Linked DNA regions of Mus musculus: all the other regions are reported to be linked to region 3. The links are microRNA targets in miRTarBase. Many come from high-throughput screens and were not tested one by one. Region 3 holds a microRNA gene; each other region holds the end of a gene's coding sequence.
What was found. The annotated mature microRNA mmu-miR-466f-5p reads UACGUGUGUGUGCAUGUGCAUG and lies in region 3 at 1,863-1,884, shown strand. An mRNA with a match to its seed (bases 2 to 7 or 8) in the 3' UTR can be bound and repressed. Matches are read on the target gene's strand: a 7mer-m8 pairs with bases 2 to 8, a 7mer-A1 pairs with bases 2 to 7 and ends in A, and an 8mer does both.

Region 1 (4,248 bases), not on the chromosome of region 3:
GGCGACTGGGGGCTGTCCAGACTGAGACACACCCTCCCCTTCAGCCCCTCGCTTCACCCCTCAACACATACTCTGCTGTGGTTTAAAAAAAAAAAATCTGGAGAAATGAATGGATTTCTCAGCCACTAAGTTCTCTTCTTTGGCTATGTTGTCCCTATATTAAGTCCTCATCCATCTCTCCGCTCGTGTGCATGAGCACACACCCTTATGTGCGCCCCCTTCCGCAAACTGAGACAGTTTGAGGCTCAGGAAGGGCAAATTAATCCTCCCCCCAGCCTCCAAATAGATGAGAAATGCCTCTGAAAGGGAAGGAAAGCATCCCGGAAAGGAGGGAAAGAGCTGGACCAGGCAAGCAGAGGCAAGCAGTGGGCTGGGGAAGTGGACTGTGGGTCGGTGCACCATGGGTGAGATTTTCAATACAGTAGAGGCAAGACGGAGAGAGATGGAGAGAGAAAGGAAAAAGAAAAGGAGGGAGCAAGGAGAAGACTAGGCAGCAGGCAGGGGTAGCGATGGGATCGGAGTGGAGTGCAATTAGCCAGAAACTTAGAGAAACTAGGTTTGCAGGGACAGAAATGGGGCAGAATAAATACCCCTGGGAAGGGATGAGATTGCTCAGGCAAAACAAACTCAACGGAACAACAGAAGTGAGAAGAAAGCAAGTAGGGTGCTGCCTGTGGGGAAACGAGTTGAGTAAGAGGAGGGAGCCCAGGGCGGAGCCTAAGATGTGGACACGAGTGGTGACGAAAGAGAGGGGCGGAGCCTGAGGTGTGGCGTTACCTGGACCAGCACCCACAGGGTAGATGCAAACAGCTCACAGAAATTCATTGCCCACATCTGACCTCTGAGAGTGTCAGACACACATATGTGGTGCATATACATACACTCAGGCAAAACACTCATACACAAAATTAAAATGTAAGGGTCTTGGAGAGTGTACTCATGAGACCCAAGAGTTGAGGAGGTGAAAATTTGAGGTTATGTGAAGAATCAGACCCATTCACTCATTTAATGGTCGTTGCTCGTTTTATTATTTGTCCAAAGGCGTTGTATTGGACCGAGGTAGACAAGATAACGTTACATCAGAAATGAGCCAAAGGACTGTTCCTTTTGGGAAAAAAAAAAGCCCTTAAACTCTGTGCTGCCTTTCAGTTGGATGCTGTAACCGCACCTACCCTTTGGGGGCTCCACTTTCTATCCCCTCAATTACTAAAGCAGATAAAAGGCTGGAGGTTACACTGTTATTGAGAGGTATCGTCTGATAGGTAGGAACATTAACACCCACAAGCGTTTAAAGCCGGCTTTGTGAGCTGAGCCATGAGCACGTTGATGTTCCCTAAGAACAGGGCACAGTCAGTCTAAGCCGTGCCTTAGCCATTGAAGGCCTGGCTCTGTCCTCATCTCCTGGTGCCTTCTAGTATTTAAATCCTTAAAATACTTGATGAATCTTGCCTTGTAGTTCTTGATACAAGTGTCATCTACACAACAACCAGTCAGGAAGGATACATCCCTTATGTTTTGTTTGTTTTGTTTTGTTTTGTTTTCAGACAGGATCTCATTACATTGCCTTGGCTCATCCAGAACGCAGAAACCATCTCTCTCTGCCTCCCTGAAGCTGGGATTAAGGATGTGAGAGAGACACCACCACCAACTGTTCCTCTCCTTTGGAGATGCCAAGGGCAGGCTCTGAGTCCACTTGTCCAATGCATATGCAAATGAGTGAGTTGTAAATGTCTACTTTTCTGCCTGGTTTCTACCGGATTCCGAAGGGATTGCTTTGCACAGAGCTGACTTTATCGTAAATATGTGTATTAAAGTGGGCGAGTTTTCTCATTCTCATCACATTGACTCTAGAACGACTCCAATCCCCGGAGACTAAGGCCTGCTTGCAAGGTTGCCCCCCCCCTTTTTTTTTTTTGCTTGATTCATCAGAACACAAGCAAGAGAATGCATCCTAGCTCAAGAAGGGAGGCTGTTCTGAGCAGCTGCAGAAAGAGGTTGGAGGCTGGGCTGCTCAATTTAACCAAAATGCCTAGTCAGCAGAATAACTCTGTTTCCATTCCTCTCGAGCCAAGGGCCCAAGAGCTCTCTCTGATTCACCCAGCTTTTCTCAAGCAGAGCACTCATTAACTAGATCGCTGAAAATCACTTCCTCCTGTGTCTTCTCTGGCTAATTCTAACAGTGTTCGAGAAATAAATATCTCAAGGAGAAGCAGCAGCCCGTGCGTGAGCCTTGAAGACACCCCCTCTTACATTCTTTGCTTCTGTTCCTCCCTGACTCCAAACTTCTCTTAAATAGAGGTTAAGTTGTAAGATGTGTATTAACACAGTCACCAAAAAGAAAAAAACAGTGAAAACTCGTGAACTGACAGGCATGGGGACATCTGTCTGAACCCTGGTGCAGGCGCTAACCTCAGAGGCAAGAGCCAAAGTGTGAAGCCCTTTCCAGAGGCAGCAGGAACACCTTCAGGAAGCTCAGTAGCCTCAGGTCGGCAAGGTAAGCAACAGCCTTTTCTCCTCCGGTTCTTTTTCCTGGGAGAATGAGAGGCTCAGCAACCATTCTTCCCTTTGATGAAAGCCAAACTAGGATGACAAGAGTAACTCCCAGGGCTGTGACCCCTGTCCTGATAGTTTTAGCACGTGAAACAAAACAAGACAGAACCCCACGCAGCACGAACCACCATCACATTGCTCGAGGTCAACAACAACAACAAGTCACTGTCCCTTTCCGTCTCTGTAGGGGAAGGGAATTTCCTCCCAGGGATTCAGACCTAGATATACAAATCCACAACTGTCTACATCCCAGGAATACCAAGGAAAACTTTGTACACAACTCAAGCCATTGTTACACCATCCCACTACGACTCCCTGTACCACTCAGAATACGTTTAAACAAAACCAAAACTCATACCGTCCCCACTACCCTTATCCCTAGAACACAGTTCCTAGAAAACCTAACTTGTACATTTCGCACTGAGCATGCTGTCTTCAAAGACCCTGCACACGTACACACACGGACACAAAAACACAGACAAGAGAAAGCTCTGTTCAAGGGGATAGTTTTTCCTTCTGTGTGGGCCTTGATTACTTGGGTAACAAAGTTCACTCTTTAGCTCTGTAACCTGATCTCTCAGCTGTGTGTGTGTGTGTGTGTGTGTGTGTAGCATGTGTGCATGTGTGTGCATATGCATCCATGTGGTTGTGTGTGGTATGTGCATGTTGAACGTGTGTGTGTGTGTGTGTGTGTGTGTGTGTGTGTACAGGATGAGGGACTATGAACTGGGAGTGAAAGCTCACTCTATACTTTTCAGAGGGAGGAGTGAGAGGCATGTGATCACAGGGGAAGAGAGAAGAGGAAGAGAGGAGGCAGACCCACATGAGAGTGTCTGGCCCCTTGCTCTCAAGCTCCGAATGCCTGATCACCATCTCTTTCCTGTTTCTTCCTTTCATCTTAGCCCAGTACTTCATGGAGTCACCCATTCTGTAGAATTTGATGTAGATCTTGGAGCCAAACAAATTTAGGAAACATTACATGAATAGAAATTGACTGTGGGGGTTCTCAGAGCCCTTGATATACTAACAGCCGCTTTCACTTTCTCTCTGTGTAGAGTAAATACTTGGGAACTGGTACCACATGGACCCCAACCAGTGAGAATGGACCTCAGCTATCACTGCTGGTTCCCTTGAGAGTAGGTTCAGCATGAATAGCCTCACACATACATACTTTGCACCATTTCCCACAATTTTGCCCAGAGAACTCTGTTTTCCCACGTTGTCTCACAGAAATGGTGAGAAATACTCTGGCCCTCAGGGTACAGGAGAGGGCCAGCTCTGGCAGTGGCTGCTGGTAGCACCGGCTGACAGATATGACCATGGCTACAGAAGAGACAGATTTCAAAAGGCAGCTGTCCTTCTGTCCCAGCTGCTCCCAGGACTCTGTCCCTGGTGGGTCAGCAGGTGCCTATCTAGGTGGTGCTTGCGGCCAAAGCTCTTCTCACAGCGAGGGCAATGGAAGGGCTTCTCCCCGGTGTGGGTCAGCCAGTGTCTCACCAGGTGGTGCCTCCGGCCAAAGCTCTTCCCACATTCAGTGCACACATGGCACTTTGGCACGGGAGGCACGCAGTGCTGAGCCGCAGGACTCTCTCCAAAGTCTTGGCCCTTGCAGGACTTGCTGTCTGCGTGCACTCTCTGGTGGCTGGCCAGGTGCGAGCTGCATCGGAAACTCTTGCCGCACTCAGAGCACCTGCTTGG
Region 2 (4,204 bases), not on the chromosome of region 3:
TTCTGGGTCTCTCCTCTGGCCTGTGTGCTGAGAGGGGAGTCCCCAACATGTTGGAATAATAAAAAATCCTCATGCAGGATTTTTGCAGTTTGCAGCGATGGCAGTCTCTGTGGTCTTTGTGAGTGAGGGTCTTTTGATGAACTCCAACATTGGAAGCAAGCCAGTAAGCAGCATTCCTTCATGATCTCTGCTTCAGATCCTGTCTTAGCTTTCCTCTGTGATGTATCCTGTAAACCAAATAGTTCCTTCCCTCCTTGTATTAATCAGGGTTCTCTAGAGGAACATCCTTTCTCCCTTCTTCTTATGTTCTTGACAGGTGTTTTAGTTAGGGTGATTATTGCTGTGGTCAAAAACCATGACCAAAAGCACCTTGGGGAGAAAGGGGTTTATTTGTCTTAAATACCCTGAATCAGTCCACTGAAGAAAGCCAAGGCAGGAACTCAAACTGGGCAGGAACTTGGAAGCAGGGGCTGATGCAGAGGAAATAAGAGGATTGTTACTTACTGGCTTGCTCAGCCTACTTACAGAACCTAGCCAGCTCAGTCCATAATGGCTCTAGCAGCCCAGGAGTGGCCCCATCTACAATGGGCTGGAGAGATTGGCTCAGCGATTAAGAGCACTGATTGTTCTTCCAGAGGTTCTGAGTTCAATTCCCAGCAACCACATGGTGGCTCACAGCCATCTGTAATGGGATCCCATCCCCTCTTCTGGTGTGTCTGAAGACAGCTACAGTGTACTCATATACATCAATTAAATTTAAAAAATATTTTAAAAAATGCTCTACAGACTTGCCTACAGCCTGACTTATGGAGGCATTTCCTCAGTGAGATTCCCTTCTCACAGATGTAGCTTGTATCAAGTGGCCATAAAACTAGTCAGCACAGCGGGGTTGAGACCTCATCCATACAAATCATCTACTCAGCTTACATAAGAGAGGGTCTTACTAAGCCCAGGCTGGCTTTGAACACAGTATGTAACTAAGGATGACCTTGAACTTCAGATCACCTTTCATTCCCCTTGAATGCTACTATTACAGGAGAGTGCCATCATGCTGGGCTTAGGGAGTGCTAGCATTGAACCCAAGGCCCTCCTGTATGCTAAGCAAGCACTTTATAAACTGAGCTCCGTATGTAGCCCTAAATGTGTCATAGGGAACCCTGAAAGTGTGCTGTGCCTAACCCATTTTCAGACCATCCCTGCTGTAGGGAGCCATTCTTCCTGAATGGGATAAAGTCACACATTTCCTAGACAAGTCAAAGGGGGTACTCCTAGCTCCTGTCATATCCAGCTTTAGAACATCACTCTCTAGTTTGGATCTGGAACTTCCCTAAAGGTTCACATGTGGAAGGCTTAGTCTCCAGTTTGTGCAAATACTGTGATGTAACTTTTCAGATGAAAGGCCTCATTGCAGCAAACTAGGTTGGCAGGGCATGCCCCTCAAGATGTCAAGACCCTGTCATATACTCTGTGCGTTCTGGCTCCTCCCCACAGGTCTAGAAACCAGAGGCAACAAACCATGGAGCGAAACATCTGAAACTGTGAGCCCAGATTTTCTGTTTCCTTGATTATTGTTAGGTATTTTATCAGTGATAACAGGTCATCTATCACATTACCCTGTGAACAAATTCACAGGACCCTTAAGGAGGCATTTCCCGTTCTGCTTCCCCAAGCCCTGGTAACGACTAATCTACCTTTATTTCTATGGATTTGTTAATTCTGGAGGTTGCATTAAAACATGGGATGGGATGGGATGGGAGTTGACTGTGGTGGTGCCATCTTTAGTCCTGGCACTGAGAAGGCAGAGGCAGAGGCAGGTGGATCTCTGAATCCAAGGCCAGATTGGATTACATAATAAGTTCTAAGCCAGGTAGGGCTACATAATAAGGCCCCAAAATAAGGAGGGGAAAAAAAGACCCTGGAAGGGCTGGGTATGCAGCTCAGTGGTAGAACACTTGACTAGTGTACAAAGGTCCTGGGTTCTGTCTTCAGCACACACAAAACTGGGAAGGGCACTGATTCATTGACACTGGGTTCTTTGTTTGAGAGACCAGCTCTGCTGTAGTGGCAGTACATCGTTCGTTTTATTGCTTAGTAATCTTTCACATGAATATGACAGTTATTCATGATGGACAGCTGTGTGGCCTCCCACTGTGACTAAATGCTGCTGCTGTGACTGTGTCTAAGCTCTGCATGTGTCACTTTTCTTTCCCAATTCTCTAATGGGTTGTGTCCTTTCTCTGTCATTCGGCAAAAGCATTTAACCTTCTGAGGACTTTTCCAAGAGGCCCGGACAGGGGAAATGCCTTTTCAGAGGCAGGCACGAGGACACAGGACAGGACCAGACCATGACCATGAGCTCTGCGCTGCCACCCTGTCCCACCCCCAGCATTCTACACAGCAGTTACTTACCAACGCCTACCCCAGCTGCAAGCCCTGACCCTTAGTCCCTCCCCCCACTTTCAGGATCAAGTTTGCTTCTGAGATGGCTCACAAGTCACCCTGGCTTTGGACCATCAGATTCAGAGGTTCTATGACCTCAAAATAGATCTCTCTTGGGGATGCAGAGACGTGCTTAAGAGCACTGGTTGCTCTTGTGGAGGACCAGGGTTTGGTTCCCAGCACCCTCACGGTAGCTTACAACCCATGATAACTCCAGTTCCAGGGAACTCACCACCCTCTCTAGCCTCTGCAGGCGCTGACACATGTGGGGCACAGACCTGATACAAGCCAAACACTCATACAGATAAAAGAAAATAAGCAGTTCTCTCAGATGAGGTCTTTTGTGTGTGTTCTGGGGATAATGTACTCTTAACTGACATCACTAGGCTACATCCACAGATCCCCCGCCCCCCTCTATGAGTTTGTTGAGGGCAAAGGCTCTTATCTCTTTCCCCTTCAGAACCCACAGAAGCAACACTTTCACAGGCAAAGAGAAAACAGGGCTGTTTAATTAAGAGTCAAGAGTCGCTTGTTCTTGGCTACAGTGCTTAACATGCAACACACCCAGCTTTTGGTACAGAAATGGCACCCTAACACTTCCCTGGTCAGAGGACTCCTGGGCACCTTAATCTACATATCCACCAGAAACTGTCCTCTTGCCCCAACAGTGGTAAGTTCTCTCCTGCCCAGAGGAACTGGGATGAGGTCATTCGTTCAAATGAGTAGCCATTTACAGCACAGCACCATTGACTGGCCGATAGAGTTGATATTTCCTCAAGTTCCAATCAAGAACTTGTATATGTAACCTGTCTCTGATGAGCCCAAAGGCACTTGAGAGTCTGGCTGTGCCTCAGGGTCACCTGTTTTCACTGGACTAAGTATGAAGAGATATGAAAAGTTTGCTGAGTCTGCCCCGGCCCTGGGGATCCACTCTGCAAAGAGTTTATTTCAGCAATGTTGGGCCACACCAGTTCTCTGCGTCCTTTGTAGGCTCAAGTGAACAGTGCGGGGAGCGCTGTGCTGCTCAGCCATAGTTTCTAAATTGTGGTAGAGAAAAGTATATTACGTGTGTAAAGAAAGTTAAAAATACAAACAAGAAATTCAAGGTAAAATGCAGGGTGTTTGGATCCTAAGAAAACAGGAGTTTACTGTGGCTGGAAGTCAGGCTGACCGAACATAGTAACTGCTATAACTGACAATGCTCTTTCCAAGCACGGAGTTTTTGCTAAGGGTTGAGCTATTCTCAGTAGCATGGGGTCTCCCCTTTCTCTGACGTCCTTACTAGAGTCACCTGAAGGAACAATCACAAACTTTAAGACAGCAGTCACCCACAACTCCTTTTCCTCTAGTTTCCAACATAAAGGGGAACCCAGCTCAGACAAGAATGAGCCTTGCTGCACCCGCCAGCCCCTGCACCCTCCTTTTTATTCTCAGAGGCTCCAGCTCCACGGAAGTTACAAGGTTAAGTGCTACTGCAAGTTCCGGACACAGCTGACCCCGCATGTGGTTAGAATATGGACGTCTGTAGTTCCTTTTTGAACATGCCTTCAAAGTGGAGGTCTCTGGCCATGAGTTCTTCTTCCACATCATCGAGCGCCCACTGGTGATCTGTCAGTTCCAAAGCTTCCCACTCTGTCTGCACAGGAAGAGAACACAGGGATGCTAAGAGGGATGCTTGCCACTGAGCTGACAGCTGGGGACAGCATGGAGTGACCACCTCTCTGACCAGCAGCTAAGCAAGGCTGTTCTGTGTATGAGCTCATTG
Region 3 (4,227 bases):
ATAGGGGACAGTGAATGTTCTCACTCACCAGGTGTAAACGATTGACAGAGTCAGGAGGATCAGAAGTTCAAATTCATGCTTACCTTCAGTTAGAGATCATCCTGGTATTCATATGTATGTGCATGTGTGTTTACGTGTGTGTGCATGTGCATGTGTGTATATGAATATACATACACATACACACACACATACACACACATGCAACACACACATATGAATGACACTCACTGATCACTTTTAATGATATGTGACTTATAGTTTTAGAGATTATACAGTACTGGGCCAGTGAATGGTCTCACTCAGAAGGTGAAAATGCTTGCCAGAATCAGGAGAATCAGGAATTCAAATTCATGCTCAACTTCCTGAGAATTTAGAGATTAGTCTGTGATTCATGTGATGCCCCCCATGTATGTGCCTGTGTGTATAGTTGTGTGTGCATGTGCATGTGTGTATATGAATATACATATACATACACACACACGTATAAACGCAAGCACAAACACACACAGAGGAATGGCACTCGTTGATCCATTTGAATGATATGTGACTTAGAGCTTTAGAGATTATGTAGTATTGGGCCACTGAAACTTTTCATTCACCAGGGAAGGCTTGCCAGAGCATCAGTATCCAGAGTTCAAAATCATGCTTAACTTCATAATGAGTTAAAGATCAGCCTGGGATTCATGGGCTGTACCCTATATATGGGCAGGTGTGTGTCTTGTGTGTGCATGTTCATTTGTGTATATGAATATGAATATACACACACTTACACACTCATGCACACACACACACATCCATTTGAATGATATGTGTCTTAGAGCTTGAGAGTTTAGGCAGGACAGTGCCAGGGAGAGATCTCACTCACCAGGTAACAATGTTTGCCATACTCAGGAGGATTAGGAGATGAAATTCATGCTTAATTTCATGATGAGTTAGACATCAGCCTAGAATTCATGGGATGTCCCCCATGAATGTATGTGCATGTGTATATAGTTTTGTGTGCATGTGCATGTGTGTCTATTAATGTACATATACATACACACAAACATATACACGCATGCGCAGATACAGACACAGAAATGGCTTTCATCGATCCATTTGTATAATATGTAAATTTACTGGGCCAGTGAGACATCTCACTCACCAGGCAAAAACATTTCTCACAGTCAGGAGAATCAGGAGTTCAAATTCATAATAACTTCATGATGAGTTAGAGATCAGCCTTGTGTTAATGTGATGACCCCTATGTATGTGCATGTGTGTATATTTATGTGTGCATGAAAATGTATGTATATATGAATATACATATACATACATACCCACACAAACATGCACACACACACAAACACACCCACAATTGCCACTTACCAATCCATGTGAATGATATGCAACCTAGAGGTTAGAGATTGAGTATTCCTTTGCCCAAAAGAGCTCTCTCTCTCTCACCAGGTGAAAATGCTTGCAGAGTAAGGAAGAACAGCAGTAAAAATTTATGCTTAATTTCATGATGAGTTAGAGATCAGCCCGGGATTTGTGTGTTGCTTGCTCTATATGTGTGTATACTTGTGTGTGCATGTATATGTGTGTATATGAATATACATATACATACACACCCATATACACACGCATGCATGCACACACACAAATACATATACACAGGAATGGCACTCATCGATCCATTTGAATGATATGTGACTTAGAGTCTTATAGATTATGCAGTAGTGTGTCAATGAACGGTCTCACTCACCAGGTGAAAATGGTTGACAGAGTCAGGAGGATCAGGAGTTCAAATTCATGATTAACTTCAGTTAGAGATCATCCTGGCATTCATGTGATGCCACCCATGTATGTGAATGTGTGTTTACGTGTGTGTGCATGTGCATGTGTGTATATGAATATATGTATACATACACACACACATACACACTCATGTAACACACACACACACACACACACGAATGGCACTCATTTATCCATTTGAATGATATGTGACGTAGAACTATAGAGATTATGTAGTACTGGGCCAGTGAGTGCTCTCACTTTCTAGTTGAAAATGCTTGCCAGAATCAGGAGAATCAGGAGTTCAAATTCATGCTTACATTCATGAGGATTTAGAGATCAAACTGTGAATCATGTTTTGCCCCCCATGTTTGTGCATGTGCGTATAGTTGTGTGTGCATGTATATGTGTGTATATGAATATACATATACATACACACCCATATATACACGCATTCATATGAACACATCAACACACACGCAGGAATGGTATTCATCGATTTATTTTATTGATATGTGATTTAGAGCTTTAGAAATTATGTAGTACTGGGCCAATGAAACTTTTTACTCACCAGATATAAACGATTGGTATAGTCAGAAAGATCTGGAGTTCAAATTCATGCTTAACTTCATAATGAGTTAGAGATCAGCCTGGTATTCCTGGGATGTACCCCGTGTATGTGCATGGGTGTATAGTTTTGTGTGCATTTGCCTGTTTGTATATGAATATACATATCCATACATACAATCATATACAGGCACACAAAGACACACAGACATGAATGGCACTCAGTGATTCATTTGAATGATATGTCACCTCAAGTTTTGGAGGTTATGCAGTACTTGGCCTGAGAGGGGTCTCAGTCAGCAGGTGATAATGTTTACCAGAGTCAGTAGGCCCAGGGCCTGGCAAACGCAGAAGTGGATGCTCACAGTCAGCTATTGGATGGATCACAGAGCCCACATTGGAGGAGCTAGAGAAAGTACCCAAGGAGCTGAGGGGATCTGCAACCCTATAGGTGGAACAACAATATGAACTAACCAGTACGCCCCGGAGCTTGTATCTCTAGCTGCATATGTATCAGAAGATGGCCTAGTCGGCCATCAGTGGAAAGAGAGGCCCATTGGTCGTGCAAACTTTATATGCCTCAGTACAGGGGAACGCCAGGTCCAAGAAGTGGGAGTGGGTGGGTAGGGGAGTTGGGGGGGGAAGGGTATGGGGGACTTTTGGGATAACACTGGAAATGTAAATGAAGAAAATACCTAATAATAAAAGAGTTCAATTTTATCCTTAACTTCACGATGAGTTAGAGAGGAGCCTGAGATTTTTGTGATGATCCCGTGATGTATGTGTGTATATTAATATACATATACATAAACTCATACATACACATACATGTGACACCCACATATGAATGGCACTCATCGATCCATTGGAATTATTTGTGACTTAGAGCTTTAGAGATTATGTAGTACTTGGCCACTGAAAGTTTTGATTCACCAGGTAAAAACCCTTGCCAGAGTCATCAGTATCTGGAGTTCAAATTCATGTTTAACTTCATGAAGAATTTGGGATCAGCCTGGATTCATGTGATGTCTCCCCTTGAATGTGCATATGTGTATACATAAGTGTGTTCATGTGTATATGTGTATATGAATATACATATACATACACACAAACATACATGCATGCATGGACACACACACACATGAATGGCACTCATTGATCCATTTGTATGATATATAATTTAGAGCTTTAAATATTATGTAGTACTGGGTCAGTAATAGTCTCACTCATAAGGTAAAAACACTTGCCAGAGTCAGGTGAAGAGAGAGTTCAAATACAAAATTTACTTCATGAAGAGATAGAAATCAGACTGGGATGTTTCTTATGTATGTGCATGTGTGCATATATGTATGTGTGCATGTTAATATATGCATATAAATATACACATATAAACTAACCAACACAACATGCACACACACAGAGACACACACAAATACACACACACACACACAAACTCAAAATTGATACTCATCTATCCATTTGAATGATATGTAACTTAATGTTTTAGAGCTATGTATAAATGGGTCAAGGAGAAGTCTCACTCACTAGGTGAAACACTTGCCAGAGTCAGGAGGATCAGGAGTTCAAATTCATGCTTAATTTCACAACGATTTAGAGATCAGTATGCAATTGATGTGATGCACACCAAGAATGTGCATGTGTTAGAGTTGTGTGCATATTCACTTCTCTATATGAATATGCATATACACACATGCACACACAGTAATGCCACTCATATATCCTTTGAAATGATATGTGCCATAGAGCTTTAGCGCTTATGCGGTAGTGATCCAGAGCTATGTCTCAGTTAGGAGGTGAAACGCTTGCCAGAGTCTGGAGGATCTGGAGTTCAAATTCATGTTTAACTTCATGATGAGTTAG

Region 1: miRTarBase lists Zfp641 as a target of mmu-miR-466f-5p. Seed matches in the 3' UTR shown: 7mer-m8 at 3,221-3,227.
Region 2: miRTarBase lists Emc3 as a target of mmu-miR-466f-5p. Seed matches in the 3' UTR shown: 8mer at 3,503-3,510.

The regions. Positions count from the first base shown.
Region 1 is chr15:98,284,581-98,288,828 of GRCm38, forward strand. It overlaps Zfp641 (zinc finger protein 641), which reads right to left. Exons shown (of 6, transcript NM_173769.4): 6 at 1,542-4,248. The coding sequence ends at 3,892. Gm33967 (a long non-coding RNA gene) reads left to right here. Exons shown (of 4, transcript XR_001781762.2): 3 at 1,545-2,494. Among named protein-coding and RNA genes, the nearest start is that of Zfp641, 9.5 kb to the right of the region's middle.
Region 2 is chr6:113,511,957-113,516,160 of GRCm38, forward strand. Emc3 (ER membrane protein complex subunit 3) reads right to left here. Exons shown (of 8, transcript NM_175101.3): 8 at 2,931-4,075. The coding sequence ends at 3,947. Among named protein-coding and RNA genes, the nearest start is that of Prrt3, 12 kb to the left of the region's middle.
Region 3 is chr2:10,466,823-10,471,049 of GRCm38, forward strand. It overlaps Mir466f-2 (microRNA 466f-2), which reads left to right and starts at 1,853; the gene lies at 1,853-1,946. The region is part of intron 10 of Sfmbt2 (Scm-like with four mbt domains 2); the gene reads left to right. Mir466f-1 (microRNA 466f-1) reads left to right here and starts at 122; the gene lies at 122-215. It overlaps Mir669f (microRNA 669f), which reads left to right and starts at 407; the gene lies at 407-527. It also overlaps Mir669e, Mir669b, Mir669d and Mir669l.